Macaca fascicularis: one gene and its partners. The protein of the gene in region 1 interacts with the protein of each later gene in a biochemical or structural test. Links are inferred from orthologs where the notes say so. Each region holds a gene or a part of one and is shown in the gene's direction. Other genes may lie near its edges.

What was found.
Region 2: the proteins of EIF4E (region 1) and IPO8 form a complex in vitro, tested with the Homo sapiens proteins (2 studies listed by BioGRID and IntAct, with this or other methods). The link is inferred for Macaca fascicularis from reciprocal best matches to the Homo sapiens genes EIF4E and IPO8.
Region 3: the proteins of EIF4E (region 1) and EIF4G3 form a complex in vitro, tested with the Homo sapiens proteins (3 studies listed by BioGRID and IntAct, with this or other methods). The link is inferred for Macaca fascicularis from reciprocal best matches to the Homo sapiens genes EIF4E and EIF4G3.
Region 4: the proteins of EIF4E (region 1) and PML form a complex in vitro, tested with the Homo sapiens proteins (4 studies listed by BioGRID and IntAct). The link is inferred for Macaca fascicularis from reciprocal best matches to the Homo sapiens genes EIF4E and PML.

The regions. Positions count from the first base shown.
Region 1 is NC_088379.1:104,497,258-104,501,481, reverse strand, and holds the start of EIF4E (eukaryotic translation initiation factor 4E), read left to right. Parts: upstream 1-1,372; 5' UTR 1,373-1,387; coding exon 1,388-1,515; intron 1,516-4,224. UniProt on the Homo sapiens protein: Acts in the cytoplasm to initiate and regulate protein synthesis and is required in the nucleus for export of a subset of mRNAs from the nucleus to the cytoplasm which promotes processes such as RNA capping, processing and splicing.
Region 2 is NC_088385.1:33,483,233-33,487,476, reverse strand, and holds the start of IPO8 (importin-8), read left to right. Parts: upstream 1-1,409; 5' UTR 1,410-1,631; coding exon 1,632-1,715; intron 1,716-4,244. UniProt on the Homo sapiens protein: Involved in nuclear protein import, either by acting as autonomous nuclear transport receptor or as an adapter-like protein in association with the importin-beta subunit KPNB1.
Region 3 is NC_088375.1:214,258,472-214,262,166, forward strand, and holds part of EIF4G3 (eukaryotic translation initiation factor 4 gamma 3), read left to right. Parts: intron 1-1,291; coding exon 1,292-1,438; intron 1,439-3,445; coding exon 3,446-3,627; 3' UTR 3,628-3,695. UniProt on the Homo sapiens protein: Component of the protein complex eIF4F, which is involved in the recognition of the mRNA cap, ATP-dependent unwinding of 5'-terminal secondary structure and recruitment of mRNA to the ribosome. Functional homolog of EIF4G1.
Region 4 is NC_088381.1:50,917,815-50,922,089, forward strand, and holds the start of PML (protein PML), read left to right. Parts: upstream 1-1,321; 5' UTR 1,322-1,351; coding exon 1,352-1,480; intron 1,481-4,275.

The DNA.
Region 1 (4,224 bases):
TCTGCCTCCTAGGTTCAAGTGATTATCCCACCTCAGCCTAGCTGGGATTACAGGCGCCAACCACTATACCCAGCTAATTTTTATGTTTTTAGTAGAGACGAGTTTTCACTGTGTTGGCCAGGCTGGTCTCAAACTCCTGACCTCAGGGAATCTGCCCGCCTTGGCCTCCCAAAGTGCTGGGATTACAGGCCTGAGCAGAAGCAAAGTTTTAAAAAGGAAGAGCAAAGGCGAATGGGGAACTTACCATATCATGAAGAAAAACATTGTTAAAAGTAATGGCTGGGCGCAGTGACTCTATAATAGTAGCACTTTGGGAGGCTGAGGCAGGTGGATCACCTGAGGTCAGGAGTTCGAGATCAGCCTGACCAACATGGCGAAAACCCATCTCTACTAAAAATACAAAAAAATTAGCTGGACGTGGTGGTGGGTGCCTGTAATCCCAGCTACTTGGGAGGCTGAGGCAGGAGAATTGCTTGAACCCGGAAAGTGGAGGTTGCAGTGAGCCAAGATTGCGCCATTGCACTTCAGCCTGGGTGACAGAGCAAGATGCTGTCTAAAAAAAGAAAAAAGAAATTTACAAAAATATGATATTCACGTAGGAAGGGATGGGCAGATTATTGGAATACACTGAGCCATCCAGGAGTAGTTTCAGATGTTTATTTGGGCTTTAATATAACTTTGTTATAATACATTTGGAATATTTAGATCAGTGTGAAAAAAATAATCTGTAATCTCAACAACTAAGTGTTCTCTGAAAGTGAACTTTTTTTTTTTTTTTTTAAACCATATCCCTCTTCGTACCTTTTCGTTTTTCCCTTTAAATACTTAATTTTCAGCTGGGTGCAGTAGCTCATGCCTGAAACCTCAATACTTTGGGAGGCTGAGGTGGGTGAATTGCGTAAGCCCGGGAATTCAAGACTAACTTAGGCAACATGGTGAAACCCTGTCTCTACTAAAAATATTAATACAAAAAACTAGCCAGGTGTGGTGGCATGCACCTGTAGTCCCAGCTACTCAGGAGGCTTGGGCGGGAGGATTGATTGAGCCCTGGAGGTCGAGACTGCAGTGAGCTGTGATTGTGCCACAGCACTGCAGCCTGGGTATCAGAGCGAGACCCTGTCTCAAAAACTAACTACTTAATTTTCTTAGAGCAGTTTTAGGTTCAGAGCAAAATTGAGCAGAAATTACAGTTCCTGTAACTTACTCCTTGCCCCTGTGCAGGAACAGCTTTCCCACTGTCAACATCCTGCAACAGAATGGCACATTTGTTAGAATTGATGAACCTAAATTGACATTATTGTCACCCAAAGTTCATACTTTACATTAGGGTTCACTCTTCATGTTGTACATTCTGTGGGTTTTGTCAAATGTATAATGACATATATCTATGATTATAATATCGTACAGAATAATTTACTGCCCTAAAAATCCTCTCTGTTCTGCTTGTTTATACCCTTCCCACCAACCACTGATCTTTTTGTCTTTTCCAGAATATCACAGAGTTACAATCATACAGTACGTAGCCTTTTCAGCTTAGCTTCTTTCACTTAGTAATATGCATTTAAGTTCCTTCTATGTCTTTTTATGGCTTGATAACTCATTTTATTTTAGCACTCAGTAATGTTTCATTTTCTGGATGTACTACAGTTTATTTAGGACTTCTTAATATAGGTCAAAAGCACAAAAATAGTGCTTCTTTTTTCTTTTCTTTTCTTTTTTTTTTTTTTTTGAGACAGAGTCTTGCTCTGTTGCCAGGCTGGAGTGTAGTGGCGTGGTCTCGGCTCACTGCAGCCTCCTCCTCCTGGGTTCCAGCGATTGTCCCGCCTCAGCCTCCAGATACCTGGGATTACAGGCACATGCCACCACGCCTGGCTAATTTTTGTATTTTTAGTAGAGATGGGTTTCACCATGTTGGCCAGGCTGGTCTTAAACTCCTGACCTCATGATCCGCCCACCTGGGCCTCTCAAAGTGCTGGGATTACAGGCATGAACCACCACGCCTGGCCTTTTTTTTTTTTTTTTTTTTTTTTTTTTTTTTTTTTTAAGTGCTCATTTTTATATGGTTCTGTAATCTGCTTTTCTCCACATTTGTATTACTTTTAAAGTAATTCTTACAAACATGTTTAGTGCTTACATTATAAATGCCATGGTTTATCTATTACCTTTTGGGTATATCTGTTGATAGATGTATTGTCTCTTAGAAGTCTAATTACTAGGTTAAATAATATAGATCTTTTTATTTTAATTTTACTGTTTTTCTATTTTCCCATTTAGCTTTGACTTGGAACTCAGTAGATCCTTTTAGGTTTGGAAGCTTGATAGTTTATTAACTTAAACTAAGTAAATAGAAGGTTGTATTCCACTCTGTAATCCTGGGGACATAAGAAACTGACTATACCTGGTTTTGTAAATTTTTTTAAGGCATATATTTCTTCAAAATATTTTCTTTTGAAAGGTGATTTTAAAACCTTAGTACATAAAAAGGCAGACGTGGTGGCTCACGCCTGTAATCCTAGCAATTTCGAAGGCTGAGGCAGGAGGATCACTTGAGGCCAAGAGTTTGAGACCAGGCTGAGCAATATAGTGAGACCTGTCTCTAAAAATTTTCTGGGCATGCCTGTAGTCCCAGCTATTCAGGAGCATCTCTTGAGCCTAGGAGTTTGAGACTGCAGTGAGCTATGATTGCATCCCTGCACTCCAGCCTAAGTTAACAGTGATACCCTCCTCTGAAGGCAAAAAAAAAAGAAAAAGAAAAAGAAAAAAAATCTGTTGGATAAGAAGTTGTTACAGAAAACAAAATGACCTTATTAAAGCTACAGTTTAAATTGAAATTATAACCTTTAACTTTTAAAAATGAACACATGTAATTTATTTATTTTTTTTTTTTGATACGGAGTTTTGCTCTGTTGCCCAGGCTGGAATGCAGTGACACTACCTTGGCTCACTGCAACCTCTGCCTCCCAGGTTCAAGCAATTCTCCTGAGTCAGCCTCCCGAGTAGCTGGGATTATGGGCACGTGCCACTATACCTGGCTAATTTTTGTATTTTTAGTAGAGACAGGGTTTCACCATGTTGGACCAGGCTGGTCTCGACCACCTGACCTCAGGCGATCCACCCATCTCAGCTTCCCAAAGTGCTGGGATTACAGGTGTGAGCCACTGCGCCCGGCCAAACACATAGAATTTTAACAGTAACTGCTCATTTGTTTGAACTGTGACATGTAAAGATAGATTTAAAAAAAAAAAAAACTAGAATTTAATTAGTATCATGAAATTTTAGTTATGTTTTCTAAGTTTTAAAATGTATAAACATTTAAATAGCAGTTAAATTCTTTAAAAGATTTGCGTTTCAAATACTTCCTATAAAGCTTTAAGGAATAATTGAAATGGAAAATACCGTGTTACTGCAGTCAACAGTTTTGTGCACTGGTCCTAATGCCATTTTAATGTTGATATATTTTGAATCATTTTTTACTTTTGTATAATGTTCAACGTATGTAAATTTTTCTTTGTTTTCTTTCTTTTTTTTTTGTTTTTGAGATGGAGTCTCGCTCTTTCACCATTCTGGAGTGCAATGGTGCGATCTCGGCTCACTGAAACCTCTGACTCCCTGGTTCAAGCGATTCTCCTGCCTCAGCCTCCTGAGTAGCTGGGATTACAGGCATGCACCACCAGGCCCAGCTAATTTTTGTATTTTTTAGTAGAGGCTGGGTTTCACCATGTTGTCCAGGATGGTCTCGATCTCCTGATCTCATGATCTGCCTGCGTCAGCCTCCCAAAGTGTTGGGATTACAGGCATGAGCCACCGTGCCTGGCCGTACGTAAATTTTTCTTTTTCTTTTTTCTTTCTTTTTTTTTTTGAGACGGAGTTTTGCTCTTGTTGCCCAGGCTGGAGTGCAGTGGCGCGATCTCAGCTCACTGCAACTTCCCTCTCCCGGGTTCAAGTGCTTCTCCTGCTTCAGCCTCCTGAGTAACTGGTGTTACAGGCATGCGCCACCACGCCTGGCTAATTTTGTATTTTGGGTAGAGATGTGATTTCACCAAGTTGGTCAGGTGGGTCTTGAACTCCTGACCTCGTGATCCACCTGCCTCTGCCTCCCAAAGTGCTGGAATTATATGCATGAGCCACCGCACCCAGCCTGTAAATTTTTCTAGTTATTTTAAATTATGAATCTTCTGGTAGCCTTTGGTTTAAATAGTACTGACATTTAAATTTTATCATTAG
Region 2 (4,244 bases), on another chromosome or scaffold:
TCATAAAACTCTCAGGCATGTAATTTTCAGTTTCTGTGACCTTTATCTTTCTGAAATGGGAGAGGTTCCCTTGTCCCCCTCACAGGGCGTGCATGGGGGGTGTGGCTCGCTTCTTCAGTGCCCCGCTGTTCAGACCTCTAGAGGCACATACAGACGGGAAGGCTGTGGAGCTCCGACCCCTTGGCAGTGTCTACGGGTGAATGTTTACAGCTCCTGAAGCCCCAGTGGGTGTGTGTTACAGGCTGCTCCTTTAGTTTGTCTAGAGGGAGCTTGTGTTAACCAGCTCTATTAGACCTTCTACCTTGTCGCAAGGACAGCAAGCTTTATGTATCCTGGGTTCTTGCCTTGGTATACCAGAAGAATTGGATCACACGTGGGCTTGGAGAATGAGTGCAAAGTTTTATTGAGTGGAAGTAGCTCTCAGCAGATGAGGGGCCCAGAAAGGAAATGGTTTTCCTCGGGCTCTTTTCCGACAGCCCGGGCCAAACTCCGCATCGTTCTGCCCGTGGATGGTCTGCGAATGTGCCAGCGAGCTCCTCTTCTTCCACCCTTATGCTCCTCTGGACGTCTGGCTGCCTGTGTGCCTGCCTGCTAGGGTCTGGGGTTTTCATAGGCACAGGATGGGGGAGTGGCAGGCCAGGGTGGTCTTGGGAAATGCAACATTTGGGCCCGAAGGCTGGAGTGCCAGTCCTCACCTAGGTCGGTGGGGGTGGAAACCTAGCCAGGGACCACACTCTCCTCTACCCAGCACTTCACTTCCCCCATCCCTATTATTTAAAGGGACCACGCTCTTCTATTCCCAGCACTCCCCTATCATTTCTACACTGTAAATTTTTTTTGTTTATATTTGTCTCATCTCTCAGGTTGTGAGTTCCTTCACATTAACTTGCATGGAATTCATCTTGTTATAATGTGGTACCTAAAAATCCTAGTACTCTGGTTCAAAAATAAATGTTTAACAAATGTTCAGTGAAAGCAAATGAATGAATGATGACTCCCACACACGGAGGAACCCTGCTCACCTGTAAGGTACATGATTTGAAGGTTCCAACAAGTCTGTCTTGAAACAGGCCCAGTTGCGATGCCCATACAGTTCTCGGACTAACAGAAAGTGTCACACCATCCAGATATGCTTAATTTGGAAGCAGCTGTAAGGAGACTCCCGGCCAGCTCAAGTTTCCTCATCTGGGAAGAGGCGGGAGGCTGCTAATAGTACGGAAGCATGGCGGCCGCCTGCCTGAGTTCGGGAGCGCAGGTTCTTCCTCGGGAAAGAAGCCGAGGCCGCTTTCCGTACAGCAGCATGGCGGCCGCCAAGGGAAGCCGGTCATACCATCACGCCAGGGGGAAGAGGCCGCCGTAAAGGAAGCTCTGCTTCCTCTTCTTCCTTCTCCCGCCTCCCACCGGCTGTCGTAAAAGGGTGAATGGAGAGCGAGTTGTGGGGGGGAAAAAGGGAGGACAGGGGGCGCGGAGTCAGAGTGGCGCAGCAAGTGGCCGCAGGTGGCGACGGTGGCGGGGATTGGGGTGTGAGGTAATCCAGGGGTCGCGGAAGAGGAGGCTGAGAGGGTCAAAAGAAAACTAAAGCTGCAGTCCGGCCTACTGGTCCGGGGGCCGCGGAGCCCCCACCCGGGGAGATGGACCTCAACCGGATCATCCAGGCGCTGAAGGGCACCATCGACCCGAAGTTGCGGATTGCAGCCGAGAACGAACTCAACCAGGTGAGGAGAGGGCCTTCGGCGCCCCTCTTCCGCCTGAGCGGCGCCCCTGCCGGCTGGCCGGGCTCCCCCTCCCCGGCGCCCCTCGTCCTCACCCCCACCAGGCTGGGGCTGACGCCTCACGGCGGGTCCCGCCCTCCGCCCCCACTGACCCCCCCGGTCCAGTGGAGCAGGGCTCCCAGGATCTTTGCGGAGCAGCTCGCGCACCTGTTGGCCACCTTTGCACCTTTTCGTGTCGTCTTCCTTCTCCAGTGCAGTTTGTTCAGCCCACTTGGTCCGCAAGAAGCAGTTTTTGCAACCTGTGCTAGTGTTTTCAGGATGTGATTTCTTTTCCTTAAGTGCGCTGACTTGGGGAGCAGGTGGGAATTTTACTTACAATTCAAATCTGAGTTCATCTTTTCTCCAAACCCAGCCCTTTTTAGGTGTTGCTGTGGAGCACTCTGCCCACCGCCTCCTCCTGTCGGGTTGGCAGGACTGTTTTGACACTGATTGGCCGAGTTTTGCGGAGCGCTGGGCAGTGCTGTTGGGAGAGTGCTCTGGGGAGAATAGGCAGTTTTCATGGTGGTACTGCTTTATCTAAGACACATTAAACCAAGATGTGTATGGAGAAATTTCTTATAAATGCTAAAATGTGTAAGACTTTTCTTTTTTCCTCCGTCTCTTGTTCTTCCTGATTAGCCTTGACGTTTTTCCAGCGTTACCCCCACACTTCAAAATTTTAATGACCCCAAACTCTAGCTTATCTCTTCTTCCCTACCGGTACTTGAGAATCATAGACCCCTTACTAAAAAGTAGGAATTAAGAACTACCCCTGGGATGGAGCAATAGCTGTTTTAGGTTGTGATAACCTGTAAAATGTAAATATTCCAAAATCAGCGTTCTCAAAGAGTTGCCCAGGACCTGGAGCTTCAGCATCACCTGAGAACTTACAAATTATGCAAATTATGGGGCTTCAGTCCAGACTTAAAGAATCAGAAACTGTGGGGGTGGGGCCAGTTGTATTTTAACTAGCTCCCCCAGGTGATTCTGTGCCTCCGGAAGTGTGACTACAGTGTGATTGTCCTAAGTAAATGTTTCTGTTGGAATTGACTTTAAAAGGCAGCTGCATGTTGGGAATCTTTGAAAGGGATTATTTTAATAGGTAATCTAGGTGGAGTTTGGAGTAGGTGTGAATGCAGGATTCCCCATAGATAAAAAGGAGAGTGAAAACACTGCCAATGGAGAGGAGGCTGGGTTGAACTAATGCCCTAAGATGATGTATTGGTGCCTCAAAAAGAAATGGACTGTCACTTAGAATAGCGGGAAGTTAAAGTCAGTACCTGTCACAGACTTTGCAGAGTAAAAGTACTGTATGTTGGCTGGCTGGAAGAATAGTAATCCAGGGGTTAGTTAGGAAGAACAAAACGAGCTGAATTTGCAGTCTACTAGTATGAACAGGGGAGTTGGCCTGTTTATGACCCCCTTCTCACAATGAGGCCAGGTGTTCCTTTGATATCAGGTTACACTTCCCTGTCCTTCACCTAACCTTCATTTCTTTCTGATTCATCAGTATATAAGTACAGTTGATGTTATAGAAGTGGAAAAAGTACCTTAGAAAGCCGGCAGAACTAGGAAACATTTAAGACCCAGTCCTATTTTTTTCCCATGGTATTTCAGACAAAAGCAGGCACATTCAGGGTGGTATGGCCATAGACTCTTGATGGTAGTTCAGTCCAAATCCATTCCATCATCACTCTGCCCTGCCCCATAGTGTCCCACCTCATCACAGACCGTGATTTCCCCAGCAATTTCTAAAGGTAGCTTATTGCTATAACACTCTTTCAGCATTTATATTTTACATAAAGCATAGTGAAATGCTTTAAGGTTTTTTGAATTGGCTGTAAGTAGAACAAAATACAATGTCACCTAACCATGTAGTAAAACATGCTTATAATCATGGGTTTTGCATGCTTGTCCTTTGCCACCACTGTAACATCCGACTTTGTTGGATAAATGGGTGGGTAAATCACCATAAGTGGTTACGGTCCACCTCTTTGACTTTAGTCTAGATCTCCCCTTAGCAGTATGCTCTGCATAGGGAATGGGAGCAGCTTCCGCCGTATACTGATGGATCTGTCAATTGCCATTTAGAAAAGTAAGCAGCTTCTGCACAATAGCCTGTGTTCCAATGAATAAATTCTCATTTGGAGCTATATATTTTTTTCAGGCCAGCATTTTTCTGTTACTAGTGACTAGTTTTCTGACTGCTATTTGTGATATTGTTTCTATGGGAAAATGTAGTTTTAGTTTTATCTCAGGATATTAAGAGTGAACCCTTTACGTCTTTCTCATTTTCTATAGACCAGAAGTCCCATTAGTGGCAGCAGAGAGGAATAGGAATGGGTAGGTACCTTGCTGAAGTAATTCATCCAGAAAGGTGTCGTCTTTTAATAAATTATCCTTCCCATGGCCTCGGTAGGGAAATGAGTTTTTACTTTCATCGCCAAGCTTTGGAATATCTGCTTTCCATGCATGTGTACGTGCCATTTGCAT
Region 3 (3,695 bases), on another chromosome or scaffold:
TAGCTGGAATTACAGGCATGAGCCATGAGGCCCAGCACAAAGTCTGCTTTTGAAAACAAAATTGTGTCTTAGTGATAACTTACAGATAATATAAGCCCTTATGTGTCTTCACACTGAGGATGCTTTTCATTTCTCAGCCCCTTTTTATCATTCCTTTCCCTCAAAAGGCCTGGCTTAGGTATGCTATCTGCCACTGCCACAGTTAATTTTTATCCTAGTAATAACAAAATGGTTCCAATTATTTTACCCTTCTGAAAAGATTTGTATTAAGTGTCACTTTAATTTCCTTTTCTAATGTTGCTTTTTTTATGTTGCTTTTTTTAAGTACTCACTTGAAATTCCTACTCTATGTTTCACTTATTTTTGATTGACAAATTATGATTGTATATGTTTATGGGGTACAATGTGATGTTTTGATATATGTGTCCAATGTGGAATGAATGAATCAAATTAATTAACATATCTATCACCTCACTTACCTTTTTTTATGGTAAGACATTTGATTAATTTTGCTTTTGTAGTTTGTCATAAAACCACTGTCACCGTTTCATTATAATTAAAGATAATTGGGTATGCTACCCCGAGGGAAACCAGCATTCAAAATACATCCCCCTCCATGTTTTTTATTATTTGTGAGAGAATGTCTCATTAATAATTTCAGAGCATTTTGGATTTCAAAATATTTGCCTTAGACCTTCTTGCCTCCTCTTCTCTTGTAGAGCCATATGGGTCCTTTGTACTCAGAAAATTGAAAATGAGCCAAGTGCAGTGGCTCATGCCTGTAATCCTACCATTTTGGGAGGCCAAGGCAGAAGGATTGCTTGAGCCCAGGAGTTCAAGACCAACTTGGGCAATATAGTGAGACCTTGTCTCTATTATTTAAAAAACTAAAAATTAAGAAGAAGAAGAAAGAGGCCAGGAGTGGTGGCTCATGCCTGTAATCCAAGCAGTTTGGGAGGCTGAGGCAGGTGGATCGCCTGAGGTCAGGAGTTCGAGACAAGCCTGACCAACATTGTGAAGCCCCATCTCTGCTAAAAATACACAAAAAGATCAGTCAGGCGTGGTGGCAAGCACCTGTAGTCCCAGCAACTTGGGAGGCTGAGACAGGATAATCGCTTGAACCTGGGAGACAGAGGTTGCAGTGAGCTGAGATCATGCCACTGCACTCCAGCCTGGGCGATAGAGCGAGACTCTGTCTCACAAAAAAAAAAGAAAAAAGAAAGAAAGAAAATTAAAGATAATTCTATGTTAACTCCTTAAATGTAATTCCTAGTTCTTCTATCATCTTTAGCCGACTCTTCTACCTTCAGAGTGGACACTGCTGTTATCAAGCAGAGAGTGCCGATCTTACTCAAGTACCTAGACTCAGATACAGAGAAGGAACTGCAAGCACTTTATGCACTACAAGCATCGATAGTAAAACTCGATCAACCTGCCAGTAAGTTTATCTCATGTTACAGTTAATCCAACCAATGAGTGAGATTTATCCAAGCCAGGACTTAGAGATGATTTAGGGTTTGAACATTGGACAATAAAAGAATCACTAATAACAAAAACTCATATAACTAACTTTAATAAATCTGAATTTGGCCGGGTGCAGTAGCTCGCGCCTGTAATCCCAGCACTTTGGGAGGCCACGGCGGGCAGCTCACTTGAGGTCAAGAGTTCAAGACCAGCCTGGCCATCATGGTGAAAACCCGTCCCTACTAAAAATACAGAAATTGGCCAGGCACAGTGGCTCACGACTGTAATCCCAGCACTTTGGAAGGCCAAGGCGGATGGATCATGAGGTCAGGAGATCGAGACCATCCTAGCTAACACAGTGAAACCCCGTCTCCACTAAAAATACAAAACATTAGCCGGGTGTGGTGGCACGCGTCTGTAATGCCAGCTACTTGGTAGGCTGAAGCAGGAGAACCGCTTGAACACAGGAGGCGGAGGTTACAGTGATCCAAGATCACGCCACTGCACTCCAGCCTGGCGACAGAGTGAGACTGTCTCAAAAAAAAAAAAAAAAAAAAATACAAAAATGGGCTAGGTGGCGTGTGCCTGTAGTCCCAGCTACTCGGGAAGCTGAGGCAAGAGAATCACTTGAACCTGGGAGGCGGAGTTTGCAGTGAGCCAAGATTGTGCCACTGCACTCCAGCCTGGGCAACAGAGCAAGACTCCATCCAAAAAAAAAAGAATTTGTTATATGCTTGTATGAAAAGATCACAACAAGAAAACTATTTAGATTAGGTTATTTCATCCCCATTCCAGGGCAGGCCTAACAAAACTTTCTACAATGATGGAAGTATATTCATACCATTGAGTATGGTAACCATGAGCCACATGTGGCAGTTCTATACTTAAATGTGTCTGTTGTGACTTAGGAACTGAATTATTGACTTTAAATTTAAATAGCCATGTTTGGCTAGTAGCTTCCATATTGGACATCACAGGTCTAGGGCATGAAGATGGTTAATGATGTTGAGGATGATACTCTAGAATCTTTAGACACCCAACAAAGACCCTAAGTATAGTTTATTTACCATGGTATATTTACTAAGGAGTTTCAGAATCGTTTTTAGTTAAGTGTTATGATTAATTCTTGGCTAATGAAACAAAGTAACCTGTACACTTAAGTCTTAGTGATACTCAGTGTTAACTAGTGATTTTTATTACATCTTGAAAATTCAGTTGGAATTTGTTAAAGTGGGCAGTACATAGCTATGAGAGAGAGCACTCAAGTAGTTCTTTGGTACTTCCTTAGTTTTGCTTTTGTAAAATTCCTTCTTCCCTAGTCCTGCTGAATCACTCTGGGAGATAAAGGAAAAGATCAAAGCAAATTATCCTTATAGTATAATTGAAGAGTCAATCTACCGTGAATCAGATAATTTGATAATATTAGCTTGACTAATATAATTACAAAGATAAATCTTTTAAAAAAGGCTGAGGCATGTGGATCACCTGAGATCAGGAGTTTGAGACCAGCCTGGCCAATATGGTGAAACCCCGTCTCTACTTAAAATACAAAAATTAGCTGACCGTGGTGGCGGGTGCCTGTAATCCCAGGTACTTGGGAGGCTGAGGCAGGAAAGTTGCTTAAACCCACAAGGTGGAGGTTGCAGTGAGCCAAGATCACACCACTGCACTCCAACCTGGGGACAGAACAAGATTGTCTCTCAAAAAAAAAAAAAAAAAAAGGAAAAAGAAAGGAAGTTCAAATTGAACAAAATAATAGGAATAAAAAATAATTTAGACTGCTTCAATATTTTTTTCCTCTCCTTTGAACAAGTTGTTGGGCTGTTTATACTGTCAAGAGCAAGTATGGTGAATTGTCATTATTGCTTTTTTCTGGGGGAATTAATGCACATTTATTCAGTCATTCATTATTTTGAAATACATTCTTTTCCTCATAACTACAGTGTCCCAAAGCTTATAGTTTATTTTCACCTCCTTGCAGATTTGCTGCGAATGTTTTTTGATTGCCTGTATGATGAGGAGGTGATCTCCGAGGATGCCTTCTACAAATGGGAGAGCAGCAAGGACCCTGCAGAGCAGAATGGGAAGGGCGTGGCCCTGAAATCTGTCACGGCATTCTTCACGTGGCTGCGGGAAGCAGAAGAGGAGTCTGAGGATAACTAAAACTTCAAATACACAAAAGGAAACAAACAATTTAAGTATTTTTTTAAAAAGTTTCACGTCTTCGCCAA
Region 4 (4,275 bases), on another chromosome or scaffold:
TCATGGACTGATTCTCTAAAGGCCTGGGAGTACTGACCAGGCTGGAGGGAAGGGCAGGCTCCTGAGGCCTCTTACAGTCCCTAGGAAGTTGGGTATCCACCCAACCCTTGACCTCCAGCCCGCATACTATAAGGTTTACAAGAGCCAGGCCCTATCATCATCCTTTCTAGTCTGTTTCTAAGTTGGAACAGAGTACAGAATGGGTACACAGGAGCCAGCACAGTGGTTGCGATGGTTTAAGTTTGAAGCCAGGGGCACTGGCCCAGTGAGGTCACCTGGAGCTGTGCCCTTTCCCCCTCACCAGCTGGGAGTCTGGCATGCTTTTCCACTGGTGAAGACCTACCTGGCTCTCCCCTCTCCCTCTTCATACCCGCTCTCCAGCTCTCCCCCTCCCTCCTGCCCCCACCACCTCACATCCACCAGCCTTTCCAGCTGTCACTCAAGGCGTCACCCTGCTCCCTCACCTCCAGTCACTGGCTTCCCAGGATCTCTGACTCAAGACCCTCCTCTGCATCCCACAGCCACTGTCCTAGACAAGGGTATGTGCCCCTAGGTTGTTAGAGTGACCGTCCCATCATGCACAGCTGATCATGTTGTTTCCTGGTTCCAGATCCTTCACCAACTTCCCATCACTCCCAGAACTGGTCCAATCTCCTTAGTTAGGATCTTGTCCCAGCACACTTCTTGGGCATCATTTCTCATGAATTCCCTCTTAAATCTGAAAACGGCCAAAACTAGTTCCCAAACAGGCTTTCGTGTTTCAAACTTCCATGCCTTTTGCAAGAGCTATCTTTCGTGTTTCCAGTGTCCCCTGGACCCCACCACCTACAGCCCTGAATCCCTGGTGAATTCCCACTGCTTTTTCAGGTCCCAGCTGAGGGCTCTCCTTTCCAGAATGTCTCCGTTTGCAAGCTTGCTCTTCCATTACATCTGGGGCTCTTAAAAAGCAGGGGCTGCGTGTGGCTCATCTTTGTGCGCCCAGCTCCCGGCAGGAGGTGGCACGAAGCAGTGCCAGTGTGAACTGATGAATGGATCAAACCCGGGGGCGGGGCTGCCCCTCTGCAGCTCTGCCCTGCCTCTCCCGCTTTACCGTAAGCCAGCAGTAGGTCTGCGGCTCCCCGCCTCTCCTTCCTCCCCGCTCTGGGCGTGTCTTTAAAACCCACAGTCGGCCTCTCTGCCCCTAGAACCGCCCCCAGTTTGTGTCTCACTTCCTCTCCAGAGGCGGGCCCTGAGCTGGCACCTCCCCTTTCGGACAGCTCAAGGGGCTCAGCCAACTGGCTCACGCCTCCCCTTTAGTTTCTTTTCACGCCCTCCAAGATCTAAACCGAGAATCGAAACTAAGCTGAGGTCCATGGAGCCTGCACCCGCCCGATCTCCGAGGCCCCAGCAGGACCCCGCCCGGCCCCACGCGCCCACCATGCCTCCCCCCGAGACCCCCTCGGAAGGCCGTCAGCCCAGCCCCAGCCACAGCCCTACAGAGGTACTATTGGGTTAGGGGATGATGGGGTTAGGCTTTGTTGGTTTGCTGTGGTGGGGAGAGTGGGGAAGAGAGGGTCTAACGGAGGATTTGGTCAAGTACGCTAGAGAGTGACACAAAGCGGGAAGACCACACACCAGGGTCCTGACCTTCTTGGCTGGGGCATGGGAGGGTAGGATAGAGTAGAAAAGAGGACCCGGAGGAGTTGGGGCGGCCTCGCTGGGCTGCGGTTTCTCCACGGAGCAGTTGGGCAAGGTGAGAAGGGTCAGTGGCCTCCGGGCCTGGGCCCTTCCGCCCACCCTCGAGCCCTGGTCAACCCTGCCTCAGATGCAGGACCACAGATTAGGGAGGATGGAAGTGGTAGCCCTGTTGCGCTGGCCTGGAGCCAGGAGCATGTCCCAGGCACAGCAAAACTAAAACCAACTTCCCAGATCCGAGGTGAGAAACTGTGGCTCAGACTGAAGAGGTATCTTTGCCAAGGCCTCCCAGCTCATGTGGTTTCTGCTTAAGGAAGCCTCCCTAACAAACCCTTCTCTTGCCACACCTGTCCTGCCTACCTCCCACCTCCACCCCCAAAGGAACTACTTGGGTTTCTTGTTCTGCTGTCTTCCAGGCCCTTTTGCTCCCCTTCATGAAAGTACAGAGGACACTGTATTACAGTAACTTTTATAAGCATTATTACAACTAAGAATAACATTACTTAACAACACTAGCTAACATTTATGAGCACTTCAAATGTGCCAGGTACTGTATTAAGCACTTTGGTTTTTTGTTGTTTGTTTTGTTTTGTTTTTTGTTTGTTTGTTTATCTGTTTGTTTTTGAGATGGAGTCTTGCACTGTCGCCCAGGCTGGAGTGCAATGGTGCGATCTCTGCTCGCTGCAACCTCCTCCTCCCGGGTTGACGTGATTCTCCTGCCTCAGCCTTCTGAGTAGCTGGGATTACAGGCCACACCACTATACCTGGCTGATTTTTATATTTTTAGTAGAGATGGGGTTTCACTATGTTGGCCAGATTGGTCTCTAACTTCTGACCTCGTGATCTGCCCAACTCGGCCTCCCAAAGTGCTGGGATTACAGGCGTCAGCCACCATGCCCGGACTGCTTTTGTATTTTAAAAATTGTGGTAAAATATACGTAACGGATAAGCTCCTATGTTAACCATTTCTAAGTGTAACGTTCAGTGGCATTAAGTAGATTCACAATATTGTGTAACCATCACCACCATCTATTTTCAGAACTTTTTAATTGCTCCAGAAACTCTGTACCCTTTAAACCATAGGGGAGGGAAAGATGGCTTCCCTCCACCCTTCTAGTTTCCTTGGCTGGGCTATGAATTAAATAGTCATAAAATAGATTAACAGGGGGAAAACCCATATTTAATTACATATGTATACTCAGGAGTCCCACAAAGTATGAGACTCAAAGAAAGGTCAGATGATTGAAGCCTATATAACATCCTGATCCACAGAAAAGAGCTTGGAGCTTCTGGGTGGTGGTGATGACACAAGTTATGGGAGGGTGAGGAGAGGAGCTGTTGTCTTGCTATGTAGATAAAAAGTTCTTAGATAATAAGAGTTGTCTGGAGCAGCCCTCTTTTAATATAGACCATTTTACTAATGTAGATTTTCTTTGGGATGCAAATGCCTTTCTGTTTTACAAAAGGAGAGCTTTTCAGAGCTATTCCTGTATCAGCAGTTTCTCAGAATAACCAGCTTAAAATATGCCAACAAAGTATATTTCAAGGGTGGCATATTCTGGCCTCCTGCAGTCATATTTTGAAGTGGTGTGTCCTGAGTCTCAGTAAAGCAATAGCTCCTCATTTTCTCCTTCCCCTAGCCCTTGGTAACTTCTAATCTACCTTCTGTCCCTACGAGCTTACTTATTCTAGATATTTCATATAAGTGGAATTGTTACCAGTAGACGGTCTTGACCGCAAGTTGTTCAGGTTCTTGGCGTTTTGAACAAAGAATTGGACAAAATGCACAGCAAAGCAAGGAAAGAATGAAGCAATGAAAGCAGAGATTTATGGAAAATGAAAGTACACTCCACAGGGTGGGATGGGTTGGAGCAGGGCTCAAGGGCCCAAGTTACAGAATCTTCTGGGTTCCAAATATGCCCTAGAGGTTTCCCATTGGCCACTTGGTGTTCACCCCATTGGTTGTAGAAAGCAACCAATCAGAGGTGCTTTCAATTTTCCATCTGCCAGGCAGGAAATGGGGTGTTTTGCAAAGAGAGTAGCCTCTGGTCCTTTTGTTACTTGGGCGTGGAGAGTTCGGGTTTTCCTTTGGATTTAGTTCTAGGAAGTCAGAGGGAATCGGCCTTAGGTTCCCTGCCTCCAGACCCTATTCTCCTGCCTCAGAATCATACAGTATTTGACCTTTTGTGTGTGGCTTATTTCACTTAGCATAATGTCATTGAGGTCCATCTATGTTGTAGCATGATCAGAATTTCATTTCTTTCTAATGCTGAATAATATTCCATTATATGTGTAGACCACATTTTGTTTATCTATTCATCTGTTGATGGATACTTGGATTGTTTCTACATTTTGACTATTGTGAATAATGTTGCTCTGGACATTGTTGTACAAGTATCTGTTTGGGTCCTTGTTTTTAGATCTTTTGGTTATATATGTAAGAGTGAAATTGCTGGGTCATATGATTGTTCCATGCTTACCTCTTTGATGAACCCCCAAACTGTGCATTAAGCACTTTATATGAGGTTGGTACTTACTGTATCTACCTTCCAAACTGAGTTCCTTGAAGGCAGAATGTATCCTATACCTCTTATATCTCAG